Arabidopsis thaliana: one gene and its partners. The protein of the gene in region 1 interacts with the protein of each later gene in a pairwise test. Each region holds a gene or a part of one and is shown in the gene's direction. Other genes may lie near its edges. The genes, in order: HHP1, AT4G32600, AT1G71940 and AT1G06890.

Region 1 (4,349 bases):
AAGTAAAGATTACAAAAGATGTCGAGAAGATAAAGTCATTTTCTTCTTCAACCATATTTAACAAAATCTTAAGTTATGAATTAGTAATAAACTATTTTCCCAAGAAACTTAAACACACGTATATGGAGTTTGCGTATATGATTGCGATTCCTTGGGGGTGTTTCAGGAGTGACCTCTTTGGTTAATGTTTTCCCAAAAAGCCTAAGCCAACCCAAATCTTGAAAGACCAGAAAGCTACAACTATGGCCATTTTATCAGCTTTAATTTTAGATAACAAAACTGAATTTTGTAAGAGAAAAAATAAAGGTATGGCTATGGGACGCCGAGATGTTAATTACTATCTACATAATAACAACATATTTTTTTTTTTGAATTTAGTGTTAAATTATATTCAAAGAAAAATAAACTGTTTATATACAGAAATGCAAACTTTTCTTAAAAATAGATCAAAAGTATATCTTATTTATCTTTGATTTTGTTCTTGCCTAAAAGTAAACCACACTTGGATTCCTCTTGCGTACTTCTCTTCACATCTTACCCTCAACGTGCTTAATCCATTCCTTATGTTTTTGTCTATCAGCCTGATTATCTTCTTCGTCCTCGATGGCGTCTGTCCATATCTCCTCTCATTTCTTTCTCTCCATATAGAATGTATCGTGTTTTGAAACACATACCGAAGTACAAACCTTGTAGTGGCGTCAAGATCTTTACTCACTAACTCCTTCATAATAACAGCATAATAACATGTATTACATGAATGCATGTCACAAACGTTTATAATTCCCTTTTTTTTTGCCAACAAAACGTTTATAATTCCTTGTATGAAGATATTTTCGTCTAATTTTTAACATCCTTTTTTAGTTGATTTCCAAATAAATTATAAATTTGTTCTAAAGTTTAGTCATCTGCCTAATTAATTAACTTGAAGTTCTATATTGCTAGAGGCATTTAAAGGTCAAGTCCTTTTCAAGTGGTAACTCATTGAAAATGACACTAATGTTTTTTGCAACATTTCACAAGAAAAAAATAGAAATTTTCATGATTTTGGCTTTTGTGGTCTACTCTTTTAAAAAAAGGAATCCTTGAAATGTTTGCATGCTTGTTTTTAGTATCATTATTTTTGTTGTCATCCACTTGATGGAAAGAGCTTTGACACTTCTTTACCACAATCACTTCATAACTCATAACTACATTAAATTCTGTTGTTATCCTAACTTCTTCTGTTAAAAAAATTACTTAGAATTACACATAAGAACTCAAAAATGCAAATTTTCTAAAATTACTCGTCTATTTCAAGTAAAGTAAACCCCTCACCAATCTTAATTTCACACAGAATTTAATGTTGATTGAAGCATAGTAAAAGTCTAAATGAGTCCTTATTTTTTATTTTTACATCAAGAGTACTATTTTGTTTGCATCACATATCTTATATCTTTCTTATAAATACAAACGATCCGGTGGGTACAAGGCATCAATCATGTAAAAGAGGTACAAGCCGGTAGTGAATTTTGAGTCGGTCGGTCTTAAAATCGCCTAAATTTACTCTTCTCGTATTCAAAAGATTTTCCATATCTCAAAAAGTAGTGTAAAACTGAATCACTTTTCTTGTTAAAAAAAAATACAATAAAAACAAACGTAAGAGAAAGGGAAATGAAATAATAATAATCAAAAAAGAAGAATTTATTGATAACCTAACTAACAACTAAAAGATGAAAACACGACACCAACTTCTACCTGCATACTAAAGTTTCGTCTTTAAATGTTGCAGCTGTCTCCTTACATTTCACATCTTCCTTGTTTCTTCTCTCTCTCTCTCTCCCCTCAAACTTAAATTCACATTTTAATACTTGTTACTTCAACTATAATAATAATAATAATCTTTCTTCATTATATATTTTCCTCTCCTCTCAGATCTTCTCTCTCACCATCTTCTCTTGAGATCAAGATTGAGTATTCTTGTCTCAAGAATCGATACTCGAGAGCTCTTATGGACCAAAATGGTCATAACGACGAAGCAGAAACAGTTTCATGCGGCAACGGCAACTGCAAAAGCAAGATCGTGCCTGGAGATGATCACGGTGGAGATGAGAGTAGTGGTACCAAGAGAAGGAAGAAGAGAAAAACGCAACAAAAGACAATGAAACGACGTGAATTAATGTCGTATTGTGAGCTACCGGAGTACATGAAAGACAACGAATACATATTGAATTATTACAGAGCTGATTGGTCCATTAGAGATGCTTTCTTCAGCGTATTTAGTTTCCACAATGAGTCCCTCAATGTTTGGACGTAAGTACACCAAATTTTACTTCTAGTTTCAATTATTTTTTCTTCGATTTTTTTTTCTAATAGTTTTTTTTTTTTGGACAGACATTTGATTGGTTTTATCTTCTTTGTGGCACTAACCGTCGCCAATATTATTCATCACGACGGATTCTTCCCCGTGGTAAGTGTCCTTTAATCAACACGTTTATTTTTGTTTTTGTTTAATAATCGCAAGTTTAGCCCGAATTTCAATTTATTCCCTCGAGATCCACATGCAACCACTATATTAACTTCAAATTAGTCAAGTGAATGTGTCAAGTAATTAGATATATACCTAATTGGTTTTGATTAACTTATCTTAATTTTCTAATGAATTGTTCGTTGCTATACCTGGATTTTGTTATGATGATTTTGAATAAGATATCAAAGATATATAGACATGAATCGAAATGATGAATAAAATCTTTGACAATATTACATTGACTATAATTTGTTTTCTGTAGTATATTCTAAACAACTCAATAAAATGTAATTCTTTTAAGGATTATATATCAGCTCAAATCTATTATTTAATCACATATCTAAACAACTGAAGAAAATGTATTTCTTAACTAGATTAGAAATCAACTCAAATATGTTATTTGATCATATATCTAGTATATGTTTTTTTAGTATCTCAAACTAGTCAATAAAAATGTAAAGCTAATGGTGGTATCAATGTTGATGATTGTAGGATGCAAAGAGTCCAGGGAATGTAACAAGATGGCCCTTCTTCGTTTTCTTAGGAGGCTCAATGTTCTGCCTACTCGCAAGCAGCATTTGTCACCTCTTCTGTTGCCACTCAAAAGAGCTTAATGTCTTCCTTCTCCGAATAGACTATGCCGGTATCACCGCCATGATCATCACTTCCTTCTTCCCACCAATCTTCTACATCTTCCAGTGCACTCCTCGGTGGTACTTCATCTACCTCGCAGGCATCACATCCATGGGAATCTTCACAATCATCACACTTTTCACCCCATCACTTTCCGCTCCCAAGTACCGAGCTTTCCGCGCTTTGCTCTTTGCCTCCATGGGGCTGTTTGGGATTGTCCCAGCTGCCCACGCGCTAGTGGTCAATTGGGGAAACCCGCAAAGGAACGTGACGCTCGTGTACGAGTTGCTTATGGCAGTGTTCTATCTTGTTGGAACAGGATTCTACGTAGGGAGAGTGCCAGAAAGGCTTAAACCGGGATGGTTTGATCGTGTGGGACATAGTCATCAGATCTTCCATGTGTTCGTTTTGTTGGGTGCTTTGTCTCACTATGCAGCTGCTCTCTTGTTCTTGGACTGGCGTGACCACGTTGGTTGTTAAACCATATATTTGTAATTCTTTTAAATATAATATTATTAATTTGTTGTATCGTGGTGAACAAAATTGTAATAACCCATTTGTTTTAAATTGAATTGTAATTCAACTTGTGTTAATTGTTATGTTTGTTGAATATGCATGATTTTCAGAAGTCTTTTTCTCTATGAGAAGTTAATGGTAAATCAAATATTTGCCACTGAATAGTTTCGTTTTTGAATATGATGACTTCAATTGTTTGTTTGCTTTATATCATGAAAGCAAACAGAATTGAAAAGACATAAAAAAAAATTGATGTAAACACAAAAGCAAAAATTGACGGTTGAAACAACCAATGATTTGTTTTATAAAAAAAAAAAAAAACCAATGATGCAAAGGATGGACTTCATGCATGGTTGATGGTTCTTTCATCTATCTACATGCGCACTTAGCTTAGTGTCAGGATTCCCTAACCACAAGAGAATTAATATGTATATATGCACCATCAAATGTTCATCAAAGTCTCCGCTTCCTTTTTCATTCTTCATAGCCGAGTCCTCTTATTATTGCTTCAAAGTTTTTTTGTTCTTTTTGATTTGATATAAATATATGTGTTACTAGGTTATACAGGTGTTAATTAGATGCAAGACAAGGATTGATCAGACATAAACATAATTAAAGACCAAGCTTCACTCTGTAACTAGACTCTTGATCGATAATGCGTGAACGGACCCAAACTCTTTTCGAATTTCGGAAG
Region 2 (5,152 bases), on another chromosome or scaffold:
AAGCATCATCTCCTCAGGGGATTTCTGCAGTGACGCCTCTTGAGATAGAGCTCGAGTTCTTCGGTGTAACTCTCGGCGCGATTTTCTCGTCGATTATTGATACAATTCGTTTCAAAACTCAGAAGAGACTTTTCGTTTTTTTCTTTGCAGCCGAAGCCGGGTAGCGACGGGTCATATCCGGTAGATAAAGCAAAGGCTGTGAGTGGAGATAAGCTTCTCAGAAGCATTATGCAGGATAACAAAATTGAACTCTACGCTGCTTACGTGAGTTATGTTGATTTCTCTCTCTTTAATTACGAAATTTAACTTCAGATTTTCTCAATCTTAATACATTGATTGATTTGATGTTTGAACTAGTTTCTGGAATAATTTAGTAGACAATGAAAATATTTAGTTCTAGATTTTGATGTGAGGAGATGGTTTGTTGAAGGCTTATGTAAACTTTGGATTTTGGTCAATTTGTGATGATTAGGGGAAAGTGATGAACTGTGGTGGTGGAGGAAGCTGTGGAACTTGCATTGTGGAGGCAAGTGACTTCATACAATGTTAATTAGATTCTGATTATGAATTTATGAGCTATGATTGTTCTAGCATTCATGGATATCAATGGAGGAAAATAGATTTGTGTTTGGTCTTCTTATGATGACCAGTAACTCAAAGCAAAAAAATACACATTTGGTCTTCTTGTGTGCAGATACTCGATGGCAGAGATCTTCTGAATGAGAGAACAGATACAGAAAACCGGTACCTGAAAAAGGCTAGTTATTTGATCACTCCTCTCTATATTATTGTTAGATTCACAAGTTTCTCATTGCTAGTGTTTGGAATGGGTATGTGCACTAACAAGATGAATGAAATGTTGAGCATTGTTTCTGGTTAAATGTGAATATATGTTTTGTTGTCTGATATGGTTACTAAGTAACTTTTCTTAGATATGCAAATTTTGGATAAAATAAGAGCCTTGGCTGTTTAAATCTTAAGGGTTTTGTTACTATTGTGCAGAAGCCGGAATCTTGGAGACTCGCATGTCAAACAATAGTAGGGAACAAAGAAAACTCAGGAAAGGTACCTACTTTCATACACCAATTTATGCATATGCAAATTGCAAACGCTAATGTGCCCATTATTTGGGATCATAAGAGTTTATTTTTCCTTTTTATGATCTTTCTCATTGAGAAAAGTCGGCTTTGGATATAGGTTGTCGTGCAGCGGATTCCACAGTGGAAGAAGTGAATTAATGTAAAGGTTATTTGTCTCAGATTTATGTGTATATAACACATCTCTGTATGAATGTTGTCTCGTATTAATGGAAGATTCGTTTGTCTAGACGTATTTTTCTTTAGTTCTTGGATATGTGGTGCCATGATAGTGAAATTTAAGAGAGAAACTATCAACTAGCTCGCATGATTGAAATGTTTAAAATTTGCTTAAAGATACGGTAGGAGTGAAGCTGGTCAGAAGATTCGGTAGGAAGTGTTTTTATGATGATCTGAAAATCAGTAGCATGTTTTACCTTTTTGAGCTGAAAATGGCATTTGTTTCTTAAGCTTTGAAAACGTGTTTCTAAAAAATAAGAACTTGGTTTAGTATTCGAACCGTTTCTTTGACAACTTTCAGATCACTTTATTTATCGAATGTCACCGAAGAGACAACTTTCAGAACATCTAATTAGATTACGCGCCGCCCCGTAAAACAGGGGTAAAGTCAAAAAGCAATATCTTCTCATTTTTACTTTTTACTTTTTTCTTGTTGAGGGAAAATATAAAGAGGAAGGAGCCAAAGAAAGCATCACTATCTGAATTTTTCTTTGTACATTTATTTATATATAATACTAGTTTTTGTGTGATTGCTGTTTGGCTCCGAATTTTATATCCATAATTTTTTTTTTTTAATCTCCCCTTGGTTGATCGGTGAACACAAAAAAAAAAATCTAAAATAATCGCAAAATACATTTGAAGAAGCTACACGATCAACAACAGCAAAGGATTTCGATTGTTGAAAAAGTTGACTCTTCTTAATTTGATTCGTTGTCTTGGTTTCTGGGTTTTCTTCTTCTTCTTCTGCGGCGCTCTCCAATTTTACACCTTGCGACCAGCGAGAAAAGAAACAAATTTCACCCCCATTGAAGAAGGTTTGTTTCCCCTAATTGCTTGATTTTATTCTGAGATTAATCCCAGGCGCCAATTATATGCTTCTGTTCTTCTGATAAATCTTTGCCCTTTTACGATTTTTCTTTGATTTTACCCTAGTTTTATGGTATAATCTGGGTGAGTTTCTTTCCTTTAATTCATGTATGATTAAGCTTGGATTGGTCGATTCTGATGAGTCAAAATCTTGAAACAGACATAAATTGATGATTTTTCGTGGTTGTTTTAGGTCATTTGAGGGTTTAAGCTTTCTTTGTGGATTTGCAGGACCTTTGGTTAAGCTCCATGGTGTGGTATGCGCAAAGTGGACAATACCTAGATGGGTGTTTCTCTTCTGAAACAACAACATCGTATTACAAATCAAGCTGATACTTTTTCTAGATTCATGGAAAGATCACCAGAGAATAATCTAAGCAGAAATGAGCACATCATCATTGACATTCCAAGAAATGCCGCCATTGCATCATCATCATCTTCTCATGATAGAATCTCAAATGTTTTGGAACCTTTACAACATGAGGAAGAGAGACCTTCTACTGTTTCTCCCATGGCTGCTCCTCAGCCAGCTACAGCTACAGCTTCTTCTTCTTCTTCTATGCGATCAAATCCTAGAAGTGTCCGTCGTAGAAGAAGTCCTTTGAATTCTGGCTTATGGATTTCTATTGAACTATTCCTCACTGTTGGTCAGATCATTGCAGCTATTGTCGTTTTGTCTTTGTCAAAACATGAGCATCCTCGTGCTCCTTTGTTCACTTGGATTGTTGGTTATGCGTGTGGATGCGTTGCTACACTCCCGCTTTTGTACTGGAGATATTATCATTCGAATCAGGCTTCTGAACAGGATTCTGGTCAGCACCGTCCTAATCTTAATGTTGCAGCAGGACCATTCGCCTTCTCGATATCCAGGACATCCGAAGCAGATGGTCGACAGACCAATACCACCTCTTCTCGTGGTAGTAGATATCCTGGGTTTATAAGTGCTGCCAGGTAAACACACATGTTCTTAGATGATCTGTTTCAACTGAAAGTTTGGATTTTGAATTACGTTTTCTCTCAAAGCTTTTCTTATTTTTGAGAATTGAGAGTTTAGATGTCTCTTTTGTTCTAAACTTTTTCTTTGTGTTGAAAATATCTGCAATCTAATTGAGTCAGTATGATTTTGGTCGTTGATTTTGGCTTCCAGACTTAAAGTTATCGTGGAATACTTCAAAATGGCTCTGGATTGCTTCTTTGCGGTGTGGTTTGTGGTAGGTAATGTATGGATATTTGGAGGGCATTCATCTGCTGCCGAGGCTCCTAACTTGTACAGGTGATATTCTTTTAGATATACAGCAATTAGACTCAAACATCAGACTGCATTTTCCAAGACTGACCCATATTTTTGTTCTCTTGTATGTTCTAGGTTATGTTTAGTGTTTCTTACCTTTAGCTGTATTGGCTACGCGATGCCCTTCATCCTCTGTACAACAATATGTTGCTGCTTGCCTTGCATAATCTCAATTCTCGGATATAGAGAAGATTTAACGCAACCTCGAGGTGCCACACCTGAGTCGATTAATGCGTTGCCGACTCATAAATTTAAGTTGAAGAAAAGCAGAAGTAATGGCGATGACAATGGTTCAAGTACTAGCGAAGGTGGAGTTGTGGCGGCTGGAACAGATAACGAACGAGCTATTTCAGGAGAGGACGCAGTGAGTTTCCTTACACTTTGAATTTACACATAAACACACAGATACAATCAAGTTGCTGAATATAAAAATATTTGCAGGTCTGTTGCATTTGCTTAGCGAAATATGCGAATAACGAGGAGTTAAGAGAGCTTCCATGCTCACATTTCTTCCACAAAGAGTGCGTTGACAAATGGCTGAAGATCAATGCCTCTTGCCCTCTATGCAAGAGCGAAGTTGGGGAGAAGAACTCTGATTTGACTAGCCAAGGGATCTTAACCTCGCTCTCTTCTGGGGAAAACGATAACCATCAACAACAGCAACAACAACAACGGAGTGAACTTAGAGTTGAGAATGGTTTGGCCAATAATGTTATCTAGATCTTCGAGATTTGCTCTATGTCCGAGAAAACGGCAAATTAGCCGTTTGGCGATGTTCCTACACAAAATGGGGTTTGCTTCTCATTGCTAAGAAGGTGAAGAAAGACACGGCGAAGATCCTGTTCTGTAAATGCTTTTTGCCGTTGTGAATTGGAACCTCTTGAGTGTAGAAGAGTTCGAGAATCGGTGATTGAGTTTGAGCGTGTTCCAAATACTTGTTTTTATTTATTCTCTGAATTTGTCACGAGTACCACCTCTATACGAGAGCCAGGGATCTTTCGAGACCTTGTGCAGCTAAAGTGCCTCATTCATGGTCTCTCTGCGAAAAATTAGAATAAACCAAATAAAATATTTATACCTTTATACTGGACCACAAAACTTTTAATGGCTTCAACGATTTTGTTATCTTAGTTTTTGAATTACTAGACACTGACTCGTTGGCTCGGTAAAATTAGTGTGAGAACCGGTAACTTACAAGAAGCATAAAGATCATAATAGTTTTGCCTTTAGTAGAGAGAGCTCACACAGTCGAATAGAGAACTTTTTCTTAACATTAATCTCGGATGCATATGTTTTGAAATGGTTTGAAAATAAAAGTGATTCAGTTCCTGAAACATTTAAAAGCGGTATAGTGCCATACTAAAAAAATTAACCGCAGAAACCGATCCAGAGACCGAAAAGACACGTCCTTCTAGGCGGTGTTTTCTGCAGATGGGTTTTCATGAACAAACGTGCCAACTGATTTGAACCATCGCAGTAGGTTACGGTGATCCTTTACATAGAGCCATGCCTGAAGAAAGGGGAAGAGACTCTCGTTCACACCTCGTTCCTCTAGGAATCCATGGAATACATCTCTCATCTTCTCATCGAGCTCTCTGTCAAAACAAATAGAAACACTTACTTGCCAATCGAGTGAATTTTCTATCAATTGTAAGTTACGCATTATCTTTAGAACAGA
Region 3 (4,196 bases), on another chromosome or scaffold:
CAAAGAAATTAAGAGATGTATAGTACAATCATAAATCATAATACTTCTTTTGAAATTAAACCGGTTGAAAAGTATAATCATATCACATTTAGAAATTACTTTACTACATAATTTTCAATATTCTCTTTTTTTTTTAAAGAAACATAAAATTTCTAATATTTTGACCTTTTGTAATGTAAGAAATTTATGACATTAATATTTAGTTTTACATTTGCAGCGAGGTGTAAACTAGGGTATGAAGAGCAAAACGAGTGGTACTTCTTTAGTCATAAGGACAGGAAGTACCCTACCGGGACTAGGACCAACCGAGCCACTGCGGCTGGGTTCTGGAAAGCCACGGGTAGAGACAAGGCGGTACTATCAAAAAACAGTGTCATCGGAATGCGGAAGACACTTGTCTACTACAAGGGTCGAGCTCCTAATGGAAGAAAGTCCGATTGGATCATGCACGAATACCGTCTCCAAAACTCCGAGCTTGCCCCGGTTCAGGTATACACATTGAAAGACTCTGACTGATACGCGATTCACTATCAAAGCAATCATCCAAAAACTACTAATAAATAGTACAATACATACTCCGTCTATCAAACCTAAGCAATAATGTTACATGTTTGACGACATTTGATTCAATAATGTTTAAAATTAAAAAAAAAGAAAAAAAAAAAAAACAGGACTAAATCAATAACTTGTTATCTAAATAACTTTATATGTTTGTGAACTATAGGAGGAAGGCTGGGTGGTGTGTCGAGCATTTAGGAAGCCAATTCCAAACCAGAGGCCATTAGGGTACGAGCCATGGCAGAACCAGCTCTACCACGTCGAAAGTAGTAACAACTACTCATCTTCAGTGACAATGAACACGAGTCATCATATCGGTGCATCTTCATCAAGTCATAACCTTAATCAAATGCTCATGAGCAATAACCACTACAATCCTAATAATACATCCTCATCGATGCATCAATATGGCAACATTGAGCTCCCGCAGTTGGACAGCCCGAGCTTGTCGCCTAGTTTAGGGACGAATAAAGATCAGAACGAGAGTTTCGAGCAAGAAGAAGAGAAGAGCTTTAACTGTGTGGATTGGAGAACACTAGATACCTTGCTTGAGACACAAGTCATACATCCGCATAACCCTAATATTCTTATGTTCGAAACGCAGTCGTATAATCCGGCGCCAAGCTTCCCTTCCATGCATCAAAGCTATAATGAGGTCGAAGCTAATATTCATCATTCTCTTGGATGCTTCCCTGACTCGTAATTAAAAAAAAACACACTTCTATATATTGATTTGTATTCTATGATTTAATTGTTCCATCTGGAAAATAACATTTATAACTGTCTATTTGTAAAAGAAGTTTGTGTTTATTACGTAGAAATTTGTTGTTGAATTTCACAAAGGTGGATTTGTTTTTTTTAAAAATTAGTCCCTTTGTTTTTCTATTCATTTATTCTGTTGTCCAAATTTGTAACTCATCCATACATTCTACCCCCATTAATTTTTTATTTGAGTGGTGGCCTATTAGTTAAGAGAACTTGTAATTTCTGATCAGACTCCTAACTTTCAAAATTTCAAATCAAACCTCAAATTTGTAACTCAAACCCAAAATGCACGATTTGAATCGAAATCATATGTTCACCATGTATATAATTAATTAATGTACGTATTAATATGTACTACAAATGTTTACATGTGAAGAAGGTGATGAAAAAAAACAAAAAAAAAACATAAACACAAAAAACTTTTTATTCATATTTTTTAAAAAATTGACCATGATCAATATTGAGCATATAATAATAAATAAAAAAAATGAGTTAAAAAATAAATTTAATTGAGAAACCCTCTCATCGAGTAAGAGGTTTCAATTAAGAAGTCCAAGTCAAAACCTTCTGATCCACGTAGAAGGTCTTAAAAGCCACCGTCAAAAATCTACAAGGCCAACACGTTTGCCGTTAAAAATTAATTTCTAATTTCTTCTTCTTCTTCTTCGTACGTTAATTAAAATCTGAAGAAACAAAATCGTGAAATCGATCTCTTTAAGCATCATCTAGGGTTCATCACTGAAATCAAAAATGCAATTAAATCTCTACAAAATCTCTCAGATCTAATCCCAGATCGTTGTTGGTTTCTTCTCCGTAAACCAATCCCACATATGAATTAAAGATTCGATCTCGAAATCGTTGGCTTTTGTTGTTGTTGCATTCTTCGGTGATGGCTCCGACTCGGATTCTAACCAGAGACGAAGAGCTTGGTGTTATTTCAGACGATGATGATTCTCCATCGGGTAAAAGATCTAAACTTGATCGCTTCCCTCTTAGCCGTTGGGAACTCGCCGTTTCTCTCGGTGTCTTCCTCGTCTTCTCCTCTGGACTCTGTTGTATCTACATGACCATGCCTGCTGCTGAATTTGGCAAACTCAAACTTCCAAGAAGCCTCGCTGATCTCCGTTTGCTCAAGTAACTTTCTTTCTAATCTTACGACTCAATTTTTGTAGCCAATTAGGAGAATTTACTGATTAGTGTTGGTGTCATGATTGGAATTGACAAAATCTGTAATCTTTCTTGTTGTTGATGTTTCAGAGATAATCTAGCAAATTATGCGAATGAGTATCCGGCGCAGTTTGTTTTAGGGTATTGTGCAACGTACATTTTTATGCAGACCTTTATGATTCCAGGGACTATCTTCATGTCACTATTAGCTGGAGCTCTCTTTGGAGTATTCAAAGGTGTTGTCTTGGTTGTTTTCAATGCAACAGCAGGAGCTACCTCGTGTTTCTTTTTGTCGAAATTGATTGGTCGGCCGTTGATTACTTGGCTATGGCCTGACAAATTAAGATTCTTTCAAGCAGAGGTAAGTCTCTTTGTTGTGTTGATGAAATGATCTTTGTGAAAGTTCTTGACTTGGTACTGATTAAGTTGTGGTTTTATACCTTTCAGATTAGTAAGCGTAGAGATAAGCTTCTGAACTATATGTTGTTTCTGAGGATAACACCAACTCTGCCAAATCTTTTTATCAATCTTGCATCTCCTATAGTCGATGTACCTTTCCATGTCTTCTTTTTGGCGACATTGATTGGTCTCATTCCTGCAGCTTATATAACTGTCAGAGTAAGCTCTTTTACCTCCATCCTTCACCATCTTTCCGCTTATGATATGCTATCATTCAACATTCCTGTGTTTCATCTCTTTTCGCCATCTACATAAAGTGCGAAGAACATGGCTTTAAATTCTGGTTCTGTTTATTGCAGGCTGGCCTTGCTATTGGAGATCTCAAATCGGTGAAAGATCTGTATGATTTCAAGACATTGTCAGTGCTTTTCCTCATCGGGTTTATCTCTATTCTTCCAACGATACTGAAAAGAAAGAAGATTGTTGAATAGCCAGGGAGAAGCATCTTTACAATACACATGGCCTAACATTCAATGCCATACAGAGAACAAGAATACACTTAACTTGTTTAGAGGACACAACAGAACAAAACTTCTGATTCGTTTACTTGTCACTTGTCGTAACGATTCGTTGATAGTTTTTTTGTTGTCATATTTTCTTACTATTTGGCAAGTAGAGGTTGAGAAGAAATTACAGAAATAATACAATTTTTTGTACAAGACGAGAGACCATGAAATATTTTGGTTCTAGATTTATTATGATCGTTTCTTTTCAGAATTTAACCATCTGAAATTGGAACTAGAAGAAACATTTATCTTAGAATAATATATTGACAAAAACTCAGTTACTCAACAACACAGAACAACTCGAATCAAAGCAACTTCATAACATTATTTTAGTTAGATACTTGGTTCAAAGTCACAACAATACAACAACAGACTAGTTTCTGTAAAGCAACAGGTTTAGTTGAGAAGTAGAGAATACACAAAGTCAAGTTAGGTCAACTTGAAACCACCACCACCACCAGGTTTGTGCAGCTGATAAGTCTGGCTTGGCACAACTTGAATCACACCTGGTTGTTCTGCAACATCCAAATCCCCAAAAGCATATAAGAAAAACAGAACAAAGACAAAAAAAAAAAACATTGATCAAGTTGAAAACTTTATCCTGTTTTTCCTAAGCCTACATACACAAAATCGTGCATTCATGACTATATGATTCTATTTCTACAGGTTCACATGCGCCTATCTTAACCTGACAGAAACATTCAAACATCACAAATCATGGAACAGTTTATGAACTTGGAC
Region 4 (5,686 bases), on another chromosome or scaffold:
TTCTCTGGTTTTGTTTAAATTGGGCAAAGGTCATGTAATACCTCTGTTATGTTTTCAGATATTTATTGAGGCTCTATGTCATGGTAATTTGTCCGAAGACGAAGCAGTGAACATATCAAACATTTTCAAAGACAGTTTGACGGTTGAACCACTCCCAAGCAAATGTAGACATGGTGAACAGATAACATGTTTCCCTATGGGTGCCAAACTTGTGAGAGATGTCAATGTGAAGAACAAATCTGAAACAAACTCAGTAGTCGAGGTAAAAAGGAAACAGTATTTTCTTGTGATAAGAGTCAGCCAAGAAGAGTTGAAAACATTGTACTTTCCTCGGGTATAATCATGGTTTTGAATTTTAACCTGCATCTGATTTGCAGCTTTACTATCAAATCGAGCCTGAAGAAGCTCAATCAACGAGAACGAAAGCTGTGCTGGATCTCTTTCATGAAATCATAGAAGAGCCATTGTTCAATCAGTTGAGGTTAGTCATCACATGTTTACCTAGTTTTTTTAATAGATCAAAATTGTATTCATGTATAGTCACACATATATATACATATTTTGGATATAGGACAAAGGAGCAGCTTGGTTATGTTGTCGAGTGTGGCCCTCGCTTAACGTATCGTGTGCACGGTTTCTGTTTCTGTGTTCAATCTTCTAAGTACGGTCCAGTTCATTTGCTGGGGAGAGTTGACAATTTCATAAAAGATATCGAAGGGCTTCTGGTAAGTCTGTAATCAAAAAGAATATATTGATTTTTTTTGTTAAATCTTTACCTCGCTCCACATATGTTAATCGGACTGTAATTGCAGGAACAACTGGATGATGAATCCTATGAAGATTACCGAAGTGGTATGATTGCTAGATTGCTGGAAAAGGATCCCTCTCTCTTGTCCGAGACAAATGACTTATGGAGTCAGATTGTTGACAAAAGGTAAGGATCTCAAGGGTTTGAAGTTATGTGACCTGTAGTATCTATAGAACTTTCAATGATTTACTTGGATCCATATCCACAACGGTCACTGGCGAATGAAAATGGAGTTAACTCTCTCACAGGTACATGTTTGATTTCTCCCACAAAGAAGCAGAAGAACTAAGAAGTATACAGAAGAAAGATGTGATCAGTTGGTACAAAACCTATTTCAGAGAATCATCACCCAAATGTCGTAGGCTTGCGGTAAGGGTTTGGGGATGCGATACCAATATGAAAGAAACTCAAACAGATCAAAAGGCGGTGCAGGTCATCGCAGACGCAGTGGCTTTCAAGTCAACTTCTAAGTTTTACCCCAGCCTTTGCTAATGAGAAGAAACATACAAAAGAGTTTTGCTTCGTCTTCCCTTTTTTTTATCTTTTATATTTTGATTCACTCAATTTTCTTCATACCCTCATTGGATAGGTTATACTTTTGGGTGACAAACACCAAAAATATCCCTTTTTGTTACGATTTGAGAATACGCTTTTTAAATTATTATTTTTATCTGGTGGATAATTTGATATTTATTGATTAGAAAAGCATTATCTTATACAATGTATAGATTTCATTTACCCAAAAAGAAGCAGCAAAACTAAAAAACAGACAGAAAAAAAAAGTTATCAATCGATAAAAACTTACTTCAAATAACCATCGAAACTCTCACTAAGAAAAATCCCATTTGGAACAATTTTCTCCTTAATGACAGGTATATGTCCACTGGAACAATAAATGAAAAGAAAGTATAAAATGACCTTTGATTGTACAGTGAATGTCTTACATAAATAACCAACGGTAAAAAATCAAATGTGAACGTGGATCATGAATAGCTTGTTTGATAATTACGATTATATCCCGCGGTTAATTTCTCTCTGGTAGGGCCTATCAAACGTAGAAAGCGAAAACTATCTTTCTTCTTCCTCTCTCTCACTATTTTTCTCTGTACGGTGGTGAGTGAAGACCATCAAAAATTGCAGAAAATAGGCTTAATCTGAATCTCTTCTCCTCCGTCGAAGTTTTGAATTCTCTCTGGTTCTCCAATTCTCCTGTGAGTCTCTCTCTCTCTCTCTTCCCTCTTTCTCCTTCCTTATGTTCTCCTTGTTTCATTTCGCGTCTCTTGAATTTTGCCTTCAACTGATTTCTTTGATCTCTGTCTCATAACGGCAGATCTAGGGTTTATGGCTTCTGGCTTTCAATAAATCTCCTTCGTTCTCCCACTCTTTTATCTAACGAGTTTCTATTTTCTCCATTTTGCTTCAGCTCGAGCTGCCTTAAGCTTCGCATTTACGTTTACGTTATGCACGAATGAGGTTCGTTTTCTCCAGATCGCTCTTGTTTTCTTCACGTTTTACTGTCTACCGTTATCATTCCTTGTATAATTTTTGGTGGATTAGATCATCGTAGATCGTGATTGAAGAAGCGAGAGATAAATTAGGAGAGCGAAGATGAGCGAGGGCCAGAAGTTCCAGTTGGGAACAATCGGCGCTTTGAGTTTGTCCGTTGTGTCATCTGTCTCGATTGTGATCTGTAACAAAGCGCTTATTAGCACCCTTGGCTTCACATTCGGTAACCTTTTCAATTCTTCCTTCACTGTTACAGGCTCCTTTGATTATCCATGTTGCGCTGCTGATATTGTTTCCTCTGGATCTATTCTTGTGTTTGTATACTAATGCTTACTCTGCGCGATTCGTTTCGAGCCTTCTCTTATTTGATGAAATTGAGGAATAGATTGTTGATCATTTTACTTCATACTATGTTCTGAATTGTCTGTTGGTTATATTTTAGGTCCCTTATGGTACATAAACGAGAATTGCCTTCATGATTGTATATGTTTAAGATTGTTTCTTATCGCTTTAGAATTTAGGTGCTCCTCTTCTTTTCTGTATGACTCAATATTCTTTCCTAGGATACACCATTGATTCTTATGTAGTATTATTATACTTGCAAGACACTGTTTTATCCCATTTTGATGTCTGTGTTGCCATAACAGCTTTTATGTCATCTTATGCAATTTTGATCTCATAAGCTATCTGTTCTTACTCTTGTTATTTTGTATGTACAGCGACTACTTTGACAAGTTGGCATCTTTTGGTCACATTTTGTTCCCTTCATGTGGCATTATGGATGAAGATGTTCGAACACAAGCCTTTTGATCCACGAGCTGTGATGGGATTTGGCATATTGAATGGGATATCCATAGGACTATTGAACCTCAGCCTGGGCTTTAATTCTGTCGGTTTTTACCAGGTATAGCTTTTTCCATTTCAGTTACTGCATGATGTGATATCCATTTTTAACTAGTGTTGTTCTAATTTCTAACCCATCTTCTGTTCCGTTGATAATAGATGACTAAACTAGCTATCATCCCCTGCACTGTTCTCTTGGAGACCCTCTTCTTCAGGAAAAAGTTCAGGTTAGCACTCAAATTCTCTTCCATTAACACGTGAATAATTATTGATTTGGAGGAAGCTGTTTTACATGACATCTATATTTTTCTTATGGTCATGCATTTCTGGTTGACTTAATCCAAAGTTCTAATTTTATATACTGTGTAATAGTTGAGCAACTTAGTGATAGCGTTATGTCTCTCGCTAGTTTGTGGTCAAGGGCCTAGTTAATGACACCCTTATTTTTTTTCTTTGCAGTCGAAAAATCCAGTTTTCATTAACCATCCTTCTCCTTGGTGTTGGAATTGCAACCGTCACAGATCTTCAACTTAATATGCTGGGTTCTGTCTTGTCGCTGCTGGCTGTTGTCACAACTTGTGTTGCTCAAATTGTATCCTATGCCTAGCCTTTGGTTTCTCATTGCTTTATTCTTTCACCTTTCTATATATCTTGTCTTAAACCAATTCGATGCTGTTATCTTAACCAATTGTACACAGATGACAAATACCATCCAGAAGAAGTTCAAAGTTTCATCCACGCAGCTTCTGTATCAGTCTTGCCCATATCAAGCAATCACTCTTTTCGTCACTGGGCCATTTTTAGATGGGCTCCTAACCAATCAGAACGTGTTTGCTTTCAAGTACACTTCTCAAGTAGTGGTGAGACTCAATTTCCCGGGGATTCTACCAAACTTATTAACTGATCTTCTTGCTTCCATGTCGATCCTGCATATTAACGAGTGCTTCTTTGTTGATTGCAGTTCTTCATCGTCCTGTCTTGCCTCATATCAGTCTCTGTAAACTTCAGCACATTTCTTGTCATTGGAAAAACATCTCCTGTCACATATCAGGTTCTAGGACATCTCAAAACATGCCTGGTTCTAGCATTTGGCTATGTGTTGCTGCGAGACCCATTCGACTGGCGCAACATTCTCGGTATTCTAGTGGCTGTGATTGGAATGGTTGTTTATTCCTATTACTGCTCGATTGAGACTCAGCAGAAGGCAAGTGAAACCTCAACTCAGTTGCCTCAGGTATATTTCTTCATCTCTCTGTTCCCTCTAATATATTTCTGTTGGTAATTAGATGAGTCCCTCAAATCATATTCCTTTTTATAGTACCATTGATTTTGCAATTAGATTGCTATAAAAAAGCATCAGTATCATAGGCTTTTTTCAGGTCTATCTATATATACTGACTTGTTATATTGCTTAATTTGGTTTACTCGGGTTTGTCAGATGAAAGAGAGCGAGAAGGATCCGCTAATAGCAGCTGAAAATGGAAGCGGAGTGTTATCAGATGGCGGCGGGGGAGTGCAGCAAAAGACGGTGGCTCCTGTATGGAACTCAAATAAAGATTTTCAAGCCTAAAAGCTTTGATCATCGCTATTTTTTTATATAATATCAAACTCTCTTTGTATTGTCCCCAAAAAAACACAAACTTTTTAATTTCTCTTTTTTTTTTTTTTTGTTCCCTTTTTAAATATGCATAGCAGAGAAGTAGGGGAGACTGAAAAATCAACAAACCTTCCACACCATATGGAAAAAAAGAAGAAAGTAGAGAGTGAGGGGAAGAAAAGGGAACAGCTTTGATGATCCATTTTATTATACACAGCAGCTCTCTTTTTTTTTTTTTTTTTTTTTTGGATTTAGTATTACAACTCTGTATTCAAAAGGCTGTGGCTATATTCATCAACACTGAAAACATATATTTGATTTTTAGACTCTTTTCTATGAATCTACACAACTCATTCTAGCTTTCTTACCAACTTGTCCCAATTCTTATTCAGTTATTCCATATCTTGACCAAACCATTTTGATGAGAGTAAAAAAAAAGGTTTCTGGTATTTATTTTAAAACATAGCGTAAGGTTCAACAAAGCACCAGTGGTCTAGTGGTAGAATAGTACCCTGCCACGGTACAGACCCGGGTTCGATTCCCGGCTGGTGCATGAGCTGTGATGAAATTGGCTTTAGTATTGGTTGGGTCCAATGCATTCTCCTGAATATCAGATGATTTCGCCTACTCTGAGCTCTATTTTTAATTTTTATTTTTGAAATATTGCATTTTAAGTTTATACAAACTATTAATATCTTGTATCTGCCAAAATAGCCTGCAAATTCCACAGAACCAATTATGTTCAAGAGCTTGAGAACAGAACGTTTACAGGATTCTTCACATTAAATACTCAAAAAAGAAAGTTTACCCTTTTATGTTTGACAGCTACTGCCAATTACACTGGATGCATTTAGGTTTCAACACATCAAAAAAAATCAAAGCAAAAATATCAATTTTCTTGTTCTTTTTATATGGATTTCCCAGTGCATTCC

What was found.
Region 2: the proteins of HHP1 (region 1) and AT4G32600 interact in a protein complementation assay, tested with the Arabidopsis thaliana proteins (one large-scale study listed by BioGRID).
Region 3: the proteins of HHP1 (region 1) and AT1G71940 interact in a protein complementation assay, tested with the Arabidopsis thaliana proteins (one large-scale study listed by BioGRID).
Region 4: the proteins of HHP1 (region 1) and AT1G06890 interact in a protein complementation assay, tested with the Arabidopsis thaliana proteins (one large-scale study listed by BioGRID).

The regions. Positions count from the first base shown.
Region 1 is NC_003076.8:6,840,295-6,844,643, reverse strand, and holds HHP1 (heptahelical transmembrane protein1), read left to right. Parts: upstream 1-1,697; 5' UTR 1,698-1,987; coding exon 1,988-2,289; intron 2,290-2,370; coding exon 2,371-2,446; intron 2,447-2,998; coding exon 2,999-3,619; 3' UTR 3,620-3,811; downstream 3,812-4,349. UniProt on the Arabidopsis thaliana protein: May act as a negative regulator of abscisic acid (ABA)-mediated osmotic stress signaling and function in cross-talk between cold and osmotic signaling.
Region 2 is NC_003075.7:15,721,544-15,726,695, forward strand, and holds AT4G32600 (C3H4 type zinc finger protein), read left to right. Parts: upstream 1-1,801; 5' UTR 1,802-2,131; exon of another isoform or gene 2,132-2,267; intron 2,268-2,376; exon of another isoform or gene 2,377-2,414; 5' UTR 2,415-2,466; coding exon 2,467-3,134; intron 3,135-3,330; coding exon 3,331-3,456; intron 3,457-3,549; coding exon 3,550-3,838; intron 3,839-3,915; coding exon 3,916-4,194; 3' UTR 4,195-4,598; downstream 4,599-5,152. Other genes in the region: AT4G32590 (2Fe-2S ferredoxin-like superfamily protein), read left to right, coding at 1-65, 151-264, 473-526, 695-757, 1,003-1,065, 1,182-1,238; AT4G32605 (Mitochondrial glycoprotein family protein), read right to left, coding at 4,886-5,069.
Region 3 is NC_003070.9:27,076,569-27,080,764, forward strand, and holds AT1G71940 (SNARE associated Golgi protein family), read left to right. Parts: upstream 1-1,955; 5' UTR 1,956-2,212; coding exon 2,213-2,457; intron 2,458-2,580; coding exon 2,581-2,851; intron 2,852-2,937; coding exon 2,938-3,108; intron 3,109-3,248; coding exon 3,249-3,307; coding exon of another isoform or gene 3,308-3,380; coding exon 3,381-3,508; exon of another isoform or gene 3,509-3,576; coding exon 3,577-3,623; 3' UTR 3,624-3,680; downstream 3,681-4,196. Other genes in the region: VND7 (vascular related NAC-domain protein 7), read left to right, coding at 218-489, 725-1,261; AT1G71950 (Proteinase inhibitor, propeptide), read right to left, coding at 3,885-3,970.
Region 4 is NC_003070.9:2,110,769-2,116,454, reverse strand, and holds AT1G06890 (nodulin MtN21 /EamA-like transporter family protein), read left to right. Parts: upstream 1-1,768; 5' UTR 1,769-2,019; intron 2,020-2,020; exon of another isoform or gene 2,021-2,231; 5' UTR 2,232-2,281; intron 2,282-2,365; 5' UTR 2,366-2,416; coding exon 2,417-2,537; intron 2,538-3,033; coding exon 3,034-3,218; intron 3,219-3,316; coding exon 3,317-3,384; intron 3,385-3,616; coding exon 3,617-3,749; intron 3,750-3,855; coding exon 3,856-4,017; intron 4,018-4,118; coding exon 4,119-4,391; intron 4,392-4,595; coding exon 4,596-4,727; 3' UTR 4,728-4,849; coding exon of another isoform or gene 4,850-4,870; 3' UTR 4,871-5,132; downstream 5,133-5,686. Other genes in the region: AT1G06900 (Insulinase (Peptidase family M16) family protein), read left to right, coding at 59-262, 378-481, 572-725, 813-934, 1,057-1,300. UniProt on the Arabidopsis thaliana protein: Nucleotide-sugar transporter that transports UDP-xylose and UMP in a strict counter-exchange mode.